Nothobranchius furzeri: one gene and its partners. The protein of the gene in region 2 binds, or shares a complex with, the protein of the main gene of each other region. Links are inferred from orthologs where the notes say so. Each region holds a gene or a part of one and is shown on either strand. Other genes may lie near its edges.

Region 1 (3,500 bases), on a different chromosome or scaffold from region 2:
TTGGCTATGCCAATAGAGTGAAGCATTTGTTTAAGTCTGTAAGACTTTATGCTGTGATGTGACGAGAAGGGTCGATGCCAACTTGCTAACAGTCCTGTTGTTTACAGGCTGGGTTTTTTTTTTTCCTTGGGTTTGATCCCGACTCCTATGATCACTCACTTGGAACGAGAACTGGATTTCTTCCTGACGAGGGAGATGGCGAGCCTTAACCACTGAACGAACCAGGACATCTCAAGTAACTGAAGAGCAGACTGCTCTCTTCTGTGAACAATCTCAACGGTGCGGTAGGAAAAAATCGCACCACCGGACTCTGACTTTCACCCCAAGCGTGGGGATTTGACTTGACGCCGGCTGACTTGTGACTCATATGATCAAATCTCATACCGAGCATTTTACTGTTGTCGATTGTTTTCATCTGTTTTTGTGTGTTATCTTTATGCGTTATATTTCCCATTATTATTAAAATTTAGTATATAAACCGTTTCATGCTATACCCGTGACTCCAGTCATTCTTAAACAACCTCCAATTCTCCCCGAACCTAATTATTGGCCCATTTGTTTATTTTTTCTTTTAATTATCTTATTGTATCCTGTAATCCGGTTACACAAATAAAAATAGCAAGGGCTCACCTGTCATTTCCATTCCAACAGCATTCAAACTTGTCAAAGATGCAGTCGTTCTCATAAAGTGAACACAACTTACTCCTGAGATATTCATGCACCTGTTCAAACACAACAATCAGAAAGTAACATTTCGTTTAATCACGTTAAGAAAACACCAAAGTGTGCCCACGTCATCAGTTACAGACCTGATATGTCTCTACTGGTCGCGTTTCCATGTTGAGATCCCAAACTTTGACCGACAAGTAGTCACGTGTCATCATGTAGCGCCCGCTGTGGCTGAACTTCACATCAGAGATGGATGAGATGATCTCAGAAAAGAACGAACGGTTGTTTGGATCTTCAGGCTCCTCAAACACTTAAAAGGCAAACACATTCATGTTGATAGATTATACAGATGTAAACTGAATAACAAGGGCAGGAAACAGTTTCTAAATAACCGTGCAACAGTTTAAAAATTTCAGTGCTGAAAAGATGAATGACTTAATCAGAGTAAGAAAAAGAAATTAAATAAAACACTTTAAAATGTGCAAAAAGCTAAATTTGGCAGCAGACCTGCAGCACAAACACAGACTTACATTTTGTGTGTCTGTCACACAGAGCTGATGCCCTCATGTCACACAAACGGATGGTTCCCTTGCTGCTGCTGTAAACAAAGGTGTTGCACTGGTTAGGGTGGAACTCCGCCGCTGTGATCACTTCTGTCAGCTCCTCCATGTTGGCAGGTTTAATGTCAACAATATCTGAAGAACTCAGGTTAAGGTGAAAGCCAAAACAGATATTTCTACAACTGAAAAGAAAATTCTTATACAAACTTAGATGTACAAATGAACACTGCGGTTTTTAATGTTGCTCCTGTGGAATGTGCACTGTTTTGAGATTGCATCTTACTATGAATGCTTCAGAAAATCCTGCAGAGTTCGTACTTATGCTTCCTCACTTGCAGACATTCCTGCATGGATCCTTTCTCCTCCTGCAGCTAAATCAGGAAATTGTGTTTGAAAAATCTTTTGATGCCGATTCCAGATCAAAGGTAGGAAAACGATTAGAAAGAGCAAAAAATTGTTAAAAACTTTGAGGATTCAAAAAAAGAAAAAACTCAAATCTTAGCTTGGAGACATCTAGTGGTGATATAAAAATATGACAGGCGTGGTTGTTGGTGCCAGACGGGCCGGTCTGAGTATTTCACAGTCTGCTCAGTTACTGGGATCTTCACGCACAACCATTTCTAGGGATTACAAAGAATGGCGTGAAAAGGGAAAAACATCCAGTATGCAGCAGTCCTGTGGGCGAAAATGCCTTGTTGATGCTAGAGGTCAGAGGAGAATGGGCCGACTGATTCAAGCTGATAGAAGGGCAACTTTGCCTGAAATAAGCACTCGTTACAACCGAGGAATGCAGCAAAGAATTTGTGAAGCACCAACATGCACAACCTTGAGGCGGAGGGGCTACAACAGCAGAAGACCCCACCGGGTACCACTCATCTCCACTACAAATAGTAATGAAGAGGCTACAATTGGCACGAGCTCACCAAAATTGGACAGTTGAAGACTAGAAAAATGTTGCCTGGTCTGATGAGTCTCGATTTCTGTTGAGACATTCAAATGGTAGAGTCAGAATTTGGCATAAAGAGAATGAGAGCATGGATCCATCATGCCTTGTTACCACTGTGCAGGCTGGTGGTGGTGGTGTGATGGTGTAGGGGGTGTTTTCTTGGCACACTTTAGGCCCCTTAGTGCCAAATGGGCTTGGTTTAAATCCCACAGGCTACCTGAGCATTGTTTCTGACCATGTACCCATCCTCTGATGGCTACTTCCATCAGGATAATGCACCATGTCATAAAGTTCCAGTCATTTCTAATTGGTTTCTTGAACATGACAATGAGTTCACTGTACTACAATGGCCCCCACAGTCACCAGATCTCAACCCGATAGAGCATCTTTGGGATGTGGTGGAACGGGAGTTTCGTGCCCTGGAAGTGCATCCCACAAATCTTCATCAACAGCAAGATGCTATCCTATCAATATGGGCCAACATTTCTAAAGAATGCTTTCAGCACCTTGTTGAATCAATGCCATGTAGAATTAAAGGGACTTTACGGTGTTTTGAATTTTTATGTTCGCGAATGCTCCCTCAGGTCAAAAGCGTAACAGCAGCTTCAATAGTAGGCTCGTGCACGAGGCGCGCATGCTGTACGTGCACACTCCTTAACGAAAATAACAGCTGAGACAGTCCCGAGTGTGTGTGTGTGTGTGTGTGTGGCCCAAAGGACAGAGGACAGGACAACATGCAGCTAATTAATTAAATGATTTGGTTCTGTACCTTTCTCTTCAGCACAGCCAACAAAGGTTTATGATGGGTCAGTCTTCCTGCATGCTCAGATAATTCCCTTCCCTTGCTTGAAAAATTAATCCAAAATGAAAGTTGAACCCACATCTTTTTTATCTGTGAATTCAATGCCGTTCGGTGAGTCTCAAATAAAAATTTGAGCATCTTACTGTAAAAAAATATACCATCAATGTAAAAAATAAACTCTTAACTAAACCATATTCACATTGAGAATCAAGCCCGGGTCTTCTGCACGAGAGTCCAACATCTTACTAGGTGAGCTAAAGCACCAGTGACGTCATTTGTATCTGTAACATTTATATCGTTGATAACAGCTGAAACAATGGTCAAAGAACGGTTCGGAGCGAAAATGGCTATTTTGTTGCTAATTTGCAGGAAATATCTAGAAGAAAGTAGCTAAGGGTCCTCAGAAATGTAGCTAGGTTTATCACTAGGCGTTAGGAACAGCGACAAAGTCGCTGAGTTGGCACTACCTCTCTCTCTGCTGCTAAAGCTACTGATGGCAAATGCTACAGGCGATGCCTGAGCG
Region 2 (4,177 bases):
AGGCGACACGTTAGCTTGGACCGGATAAGAGCATCCCTATTTAAAACTGCATTTGTTTTCTAGAAACCCCTAAGAACAAACCAGAACACAGAGATACCAGAATAAGGATCGTAGAGACAAAACATGTGTTTATAGCGCTGAACCTGAGTTTGGAGCAGCGAAGGATCCTGGTGAGCGAGACACAGTTTCCCTCCATCAGCCCTTTTCCCACAGTGGGAATGGACCCCTTCCTGCAGGCAGCGTACAGCGAGCAGGCCAGCCAGTGGACCACATCCCCCTGCAGACAAACAGCAAATCACTTTAATTGTCTTCACTCAGCATAAACAGCAAACTGGGAAACTAATACTCCACTATTTCCAGTACACAGAGCGACTCAGCAGATACAAGAATAGCTGCAGAAACAGCAAACAGAACTACACGGAACATGACTGAAAACCTATGTGCACATTTTAATTACTATGTTTGATTTTTGCACGCAAAATTCTGCCATCTTTAATTAATGAGACAGCTGAATGGTCCAATTATTTATAATTCAGAAGAGTTTAACGACTAGCATTTTATCATCTATTGGAGATATGTTTTTATAATACAGACAGACTATTAGTATTTTTGAAGGTCAATTTCTCAAACAAATATTTTTCATTAATAAATCAGAGAAGCAACCATTTCTGAATGACAGATAAACTCAAAGATAAACGGAGCATCTGTTTGGTTAGAGGCCTTATGTTTAAAAGCATAACTGAATCATTTGAGGTTAATTCAGTTTCCCCCTCTCCCCAGGTCAAGAGTCTGGGTGTCATCCTAGACAGCACACTATCCTTCCAATCTCATATCAATAGCATCACACGGTCAGCTTATTTCCATCTTCGTAACATTAATCGTCTTCGCCCCTCCCTTGATGTCCACTCTACTTCTATTCTTGTCCATAGTCTGGTTACATCGCGTATCGATTATTGCAACTCTCTTCTCTCAGGCCTCCCTCAGAAAATCCTCCGTAAGCTCCAGTTGGTCCAGAACGCAGCAGCACGCATCGTCACTAAAACTCCCATCTCTCATCACATCACCCCCATCCTCAAACAACTCCATTGGCTACCAGTGCACACCAGGATTAACTACAAGATTCTCCTTCTCACCTTCAAGGCCATCCAAAACCTCGCCCCTCACTACCTCACAGATCTCGTTCACATCGTCACCTCGTCCCGTTCCCTCAGGTCCTCCTCCTCCATTCATCTCTCTGTGCCCTCCTTCCGTATCAGCACCATGGGGAGTAGAGCCTTCAGCGGCACCACTCCCAAACTCTGGAACTCCCTTCCCCCTCTCATCAAGAACATTAACTCATTCACAGAATTCAAAAAACAACTCAAAACCCACCTCTTCATTACCACATATCAACTTTGAATTTTAGAGAGCCTTGTTTGTTGATGTTTACGTATGTTTACTTATTGAATGATTTGTGTTTTTATTCTGTACAGTGTCCTTGAGTGACCAGAAAGGCGCTTTTAAATAAAATGCATTATTATTAATAGGTAACGATGTAAACAAAGCCAACTAGCATCATTAGCTGTAGGAGGTTAAATTGTCAGGTACAAACTAATCTTTCATAATCTGTACCTAGATTAGGATTAGAATCGTTTTGAATAAAATAACCTTGTAACACCTCTCTGTGTGAACGTTTCTTTCCGTGAATCACCTTTGACCCCTGAGGATATAATCAGTGTTTACACCCATCCCTCAGACAGAAGTCTTCTAACAAACACTGCACAACTTTTGTTGATGTCCCGTCATTTTAGACGATGCTTCAAACTGACTGCACTACAGTTGTCTATGTTCCTGTCACACGGATTCAAAGGCAAAAACAAACAAACAAACAATTCTGATACTAATCAGGGTGAACAACAAAAATCAGGATTATATAGTGATTTCTGATACGATGTTAAAAGGAAACTGCTTTTAATTAAGATGTCAATAGTATGTATGAACAATAAAACTGATATTAATTGAAAAAGAACATCTGCTGCTTTGTTATCAGACTAAAGAAATCTTAAACATTGTTATTATTGGTCAGACCTTAAATAAAGCCGATCCATTTAAATAAAACGGATTTATTATTCACTCAGATGTCACTACCATGTTCTACCCATGGTTTTACCACAAATAAAAGACAGTCATAGTTGTTTTACGGTAAAATATATTTTACCTGGAAAAAATATTTCAATTTGATTATTTTTTATTATTCTTATGTAATTTCAGGAGGATTTTAATATTTGTTAATAATCAGTCAGTCATAAACTAAAAATAATTGTTTTGTTTTGTCCGGTTTTGTCTGACGTTTGCAAATGCCGTCGATCGACTGCTCGACAATATGTTTCTGTTCCTGGATGGAAGATTAAAAACAGGTCAGTTGTTGAATCCCTTTAATCTCAGTGTGTGTCAGCACTGAAATCCAGTTCTATGTAGGATGAAAGTTGTGGCTGATTAATTCGACAGTAACTTGTTATTAAAGAACATTATTCACCTCCAGAGTGTATGTGTTCCATATGGCTGTGAAGTTGTCCATAGCTTCAGTAGCGGTCTGTTCGTCCATGTTCAGCTCCTGACACAATGTCTCCAAACTCCTTCGGACTGAACTTTCCTCCATCCTGCCCGACTCGGAGTCCGACGACTCGTCACCCCGCATTCGTTCCAATGTACAGCTACAGCATCAAGTTTTAAACAACCCCCAGAGCCAGACGTTAACCAGCAAAACGCTGCCCTCTCCCAAACACCAACAAACAGGCTCCACGAGCATCCCACTTCCGCCTACAGTTCCCACAATGCAGTGCGTTGGCGCGAAAACCCTGCTGCTCTGACCAATCAAAGTCAAGACATGCGAAGCCCTCTCGCCCTCTTGCCCTACCCCTCTCGGTCTCCTTCAGGAGGTCGCTCCTAATTAAAACCACCTTTTTATGGAGTTACAGCTGTCTGAAATAATTAACTTTAAAAAGTAAAATTACAAAATATGCCGAGAAGTCGAGAAAAGAAGTATGCAATAACAATTTGGTAGCAATTCGTTAACTAACGTGCAGAGGGCAGTGTTCTGTTATTATAGAATTCCTGCTCATCTAATCAAAGGTTTAAAAAAGTGATTTTTTTTTTACAAAATACAATCCACAAAATCGGATTGAGTCTTAGAATAAAACGAATGTTACAAGGTGACCTTTTAAGTGTTCTTATTCCTATTGTTGTCTACAAAGGGAATGAGTTAACATATTATGTAGTATACCCTATAAAATACAATTTTTAGAACGATGCAGACTGCAGAGCCTGCCAAGAATTATTGTCTTTAATACTCTAAAATGTTAATGAAATAGCTGTTTAATAAAAAAAAAACAGCAATGCTCAAAACACTGTTAAAAAAACTTTGTTAAAAACACCAACAACATATCTATTTTTCTCTCCATGTCCAATTTGCAGGTTGGGGGCTATTTGTAGCTCTTGAAGTGCTTTTGTTTGGCCCCCACTTGCATTTCTAGAATCATGTGGCTCCAGATCCACCGGTTGCAAAACCTCTAAAAACCCATAAATATAACACAAGCTATCTTAATTTAAAGTAAAATAATTATTTATATAAGACATGTTTGGTTGTTTTATAGTAAATGGAACATTGTCCATTTAAAAGAATGAATGAACACAAACTCAAAACATTTTTGCTCAGATTCAGTTTATTGATGAATTAAGAGACAATAAAGTCAAACCCATAACCACATCTTTTTAAAAATATAGTGTAATAACAGCATAAAGGATGTTCACAGCAACACCACCAAATTTGTGATAGTCTTCATTATAAAAACAAACCTCTAACCGATGGTCTAAAGTAGCATTCTGCTAAACCCAACATACGTAGAAAGTTACCAGACTTGATTATTACAAGACTAAACACACCCTTAAAACCAGCTTTAAACTATTTTATTTCTAACTTCAAATGATTTATTGTTTAAATATTACAGTTAGTTTAAAGAGAAAGTCACCCCCAAATCAACTTTTTTTCTGATAAACTATATAAATGTGTGTCTAATCATGCTGTAGACACGTGTAGTCAGTAATTTTGCACTTTAGTGCATTTTAGTAAAAATTTAAATTTTCTGCCTAAAACTGTCAGTGTTGTGCCGTTGTCAGGTAAAAACTGTGCAGTGCAGTT
Region 3 (3,395 bases), on a different chromosome or scaffold from region 2:
GCAGATATTTCTTAAATGTGCTTTTTAACCCTCCCACTGTCTTTATGGGTGATCCCGTGAGGAAAGCTGACCATCGAGCAGGGTTGGTGATTTATCCCTTGAGGTCAATGTGGCAGGGGTGAGGTGGTGCTCACTCCTCACCCCTGCCACATGGACCCAAGGGATAAACCATCAACCCCGCTCAATGGTCAGCTTTCCTCACAGGGTCACACCCATTAGGACGGTGGGAGGGTTAAACAAATTTTGACTTGACTAAATAGCGGTTTGTTACATCTTACATCCCTCATGAACTGACAATATAAAACTTCGTAAAAGAATAACTTAAGAACCGATTTAGACTTGTTCTAAATTGAAAATGTGTCGACTTTCTTTCAAGTTTGCATAGCTGTCTGGTCGTCAACAGCCTAGTGAGATACTGGACAAGGAGAACTTAACACACCTTTTCACAGCCAAACGGGAGAAAATCAAGCAGCAGTAACTAACATAGACAGAAACACATCTAAAACACATAAACAAGAGCTACATCCTTCAAATGAACTTAAAATTTTTATTCAAATGAATAAAAAGTGCAATTTGTCCATGATTAGAGGTCGGAGATGGTGTCCTGCTACCTAACAGCGACATTTAATTTAAAGGTGAGGAAAAAGCCTCATCTATGTTACAACATCACTCACATATCTACAACATTATTTTCTACATCTCGTACGATCAAGAGAAGTTCAAATTAAAATGAATGGCAGTGCAGGAAAATGAACTGTAGCCCAATCCTGATTTTAAAAGTGAAAAGATTGATAAAATTCTTCAATAATTCTTCTTAAAGGTTTTCTTTTTCAAAGAAATAAATAAATAGTAAATAAATAGAACCTACAGCCTTCACATGAAAACTATAATCCTTCTCAGCCAAATGCTTGATTTTTGTGGTATGAAGTCAGAATGAATCACCGGGACTGAAAGTTGAAAAATAAAAGGTAGCAATGCTTAGAGCAAGAGAGTTTTTAGGCTGTTTTGTCAGCAGTTAGACCTTATGTTGTCTGATTTATATTAATATCTAAGCTTTAAAAACTGAAAAATAAATAAAACAATTAGAAATAAACAATAAAGTACCCTTCCATGTTTGAGGTTCTTCCATTGCAATGAAATACATTCAGCTGATTTTTTTATGGCCTTGGAAAGGAAACGTTGTGTTGTTATTCAGAAGTGCTATCCAGTCTGCTCATAAAAAATAATAATAATAATCACGCTCCTTCCTCAGCAGCAAAATTATCTCAGTAGTGCAATACTGACAGAAAACATTCCCACATACTGTTACAACAACCACGCTGCTGTTTTTTTAATGAAAAACAATGATTGGTGTTGTATTTAAAAGTGTGATTTAGTGTGATTTTAAAAACGGCAGCATGAGTGTTGTTTTTATCTCATAACAGCAACGGGGCGAGACACACCAGTATCGTTATGTCGGCTTTTAAATAATATGTTAAAATACAGTGGGGCAAAAAAAGTATTTAGTCAGGCACCGATTGTGCAAGTTCTCCCACTTAAAATGATGACAGAGGTCAGTAATTTACATCATAGGTACACTTCAACTGTGAGAGAATGTGAAAAAAAATCCATGAATTCACATGGCAGGATTTTTAAAGAATTTATTTGTAAATCAGGGTGGAAAATAAGTATTTGGTCACTTCAAACAAGGAAAATCTCTGGCTCTCACAGACCTGTAACGTCTTCTTTAAGAAGCTTTTCTGTCCTCCACTAGTTACCTGTATTAATGGCACCTGTTTGAACACGTTATCTGTATAAAAGACACCCGTCCACAGCCTCAAACAGTCAGACTCCAAACTCCACTATGGCCAAGACCAAAGAGCTTTCGAAGGACACCAGGAAAAGAATTGTAGACCTGCACCAGACTGGGAAGAGTGAATCTACAATAGGCAAGCAGCTTGGTGTGAAAAAAATCAACTGTGGGAGCAATTATCAGAAAATGGAAGACATACAAGACCACTGATAATCTTCCTCGATCTGGGGCTCCACGCAAGATCTCATCCCGTGGGGTCAAAATGATCATGAGAACGGTGAGCAAGAATCCCAGAACCACACGGGGGGACCTGGTGAATGACCTGCAGAGAGCTGGGACCACAGTAACAAAGGTCACCATCAGTAACACACTACAACGGCAGGGAATCCAATCCTGCAGTGCCAGACGTGTTCTGCTGCTGAAGCCAGTGCATGTCCAGGCCCGTCTGAAGTTTGCCAGAGAGTACATGGATGATACAGCAGAGGATTGGGAGAATGTCATGTGGTCAGATGAAACCAAAGTAGAACTTTTTGGTATAAACTCAACTCGTCATGTTTGGAGGAAGAAGAATACTGAGTTGCATCCCAAGAACACCATACCTACTGTGAAGCATGGGGGTGGGAATATCATGCTTTGGGCCTGTTTTTCTGCTAAGAGGACAGGACGACTGATCCGTGTTAAGGACAGAATGAATGGGGCCATGTATCGTGAGATTCTGAGCCAAAACCTCCTTCCATCAGTGAGAGCTTTGAAGTTGAAACGTGGCTGGGTCTTCCAACACGACAATGATCCCAAACACACCGCCCGGGCAACAAAGGAGTGGCTCCGTAAGAAGCATTTGAAAGTCCTGGAGTGGCCTAGCCAGTCTCCAGAACTCAACCCCATAGAAAATCTGTGGAGGGAGTTGAAAGTCTGTGTTGCTCGGCGACAGCCCCAAAACATCACTGCTCTCGAGAAGATCTGCATGGAGGAATGGGCCAAAATACCAGCTACTGTGTGTGCAAACCTGGTAAAGACCTATAGTAATCGTTTGACCTCTGTTATTGCCAACAAAGGTTAAGTTACAAAGTATTGAGTTGAATTTTTGTTATTGACCAAATACTTATTTTCCACCCTGATTTACAAATAAATTCTTTAAAAATCCTGCCATGTGAATTCATGGATTTTTTTTTCACATTCTGTCTCTCACAGTTGAAGTGTACCTATGATGAAAATTACTGACCTCTGTCATCATTTTAAGTGGGAGACCTTGCACAATCGGTGGCTGACTAAATACTTTTTTCCCCCACTGTATAAGTCTGAAGCTACTGATCAGTATGAACTACGTGACCTAAGCATGCGTTAACAGTACCAGCAGCCGTGCCTGTATGTGGACGGTGTTTCTGCTCCGTGGATTGTCTCCCACGGGGACTTGGTGGACGTTTGAGTCGGATGTAATGCTGCTAGCTGAAGGGGATGGCCTTTAAAGCACCAGAGCCCTTGAGGTAGAGCCAGACGATGAAAAGGGGTTCAGGTACTGACGAGCCTGTTCTGTCATGATGAGCTGGTCCTCAGTCTTCCCATAAACCACTGCTTCCCACTCACTTACCTGCAGAGGAAGAGG

Evidence for each region. The genes of interacting proteins can lie anywhere in the genome.
Region 1: the proteins of rbl1 (region 2) and ppp2r2aa are in contact, whole or in part, in a cryo-EM structure (PDB 9C6B), measured with the Homo sapiens proteins. The link is inferred for Nothobranchius furzeri from reciprocal best matches to the Homo sapiens genes RBL1 and PPP2R2A. Residues at the interface, in NP_002886.2 of Homo sapiens: Ser615, Pro616, Leu617, Met618, His619, Pro620, Arg621, Val622, Val625, Arg626, Ser629, Leu632; in NP_002708.1 of Homo sapiens: Lys88, Tyr178, His179, Asp197, Leu198, Met222, Glu223, Glu224, Leu225, Thr226, Glu227, Val228, Ser247, Arg278, Ser279, Phe280, Phe281, Ser282, Glu283, Ile284, Ser287, Tyr337, Phe343.
Region 3: rbl1 (region 2) and mybl1 share a complex: the UniProt entries of both Homo sapiens proteins name them as parts of the DREAM complex. The link is inferred for Nothobranchius furzeri from reciprocal best matches to the Homo sapiens genes RBL1 and MYBL1.

What each region holds. Positions count from the first base shown.
Region 1 is NC_091757.1:37,259,148-37,262,647, forward strand, and holds part of ppp2r2aa (serine/threonine-protein phosphatase 2A 55 kDa regulatory subunit B alpha isoform), read right to left. Parts: intron 1,365-3,500; coding exon 1,200-1,364; intron 980-1,199; coding exon 810-979; intron 723-809; coding exon 631-722; intron 1-630. UniProt on the Homo sapiens protein: Substrate-recognition subunit of protein phosphatase 2A (PP2A) that plays a key role in cell cycle by controlling mitosis entry and exit. Involved in chromosome clustering during late mitosis by mediating dephosphorylation of MKI67.
Region 2 is NC_091743.1:73,535,670-73,539,846, forward strand, and holds the start of rbl1 (retinoblastoma-like protein 1), read right to left. Parts: upstream 2,801-4,177; 5' UTR 2,678-2,800; coding exon 2,516-2,677; intron 278-2,515; coding exon 144-277; intron 1-143. UniProt on the Homo sapiens protein: Key regulator of entry into cell division. Directly involved in heterochromatin formation by maintaining overall chromatin structure and, in particular, that of constitutive heterochromatin by stabilizing histone methylation.
Region 3 is NC_091747.1:51,681,174-51,684,568, forward strand, and holds part of mybl1 (myb-related protein A), read right to left. Parts: intron 3,381-3,395; coding exon 3,255-3,380; 3' UTR 1-3,254. UniProt on the Homo sapiens protein: Transcription factor that specifically recognizes the sequence 5'-YAAC[GT]G-3'.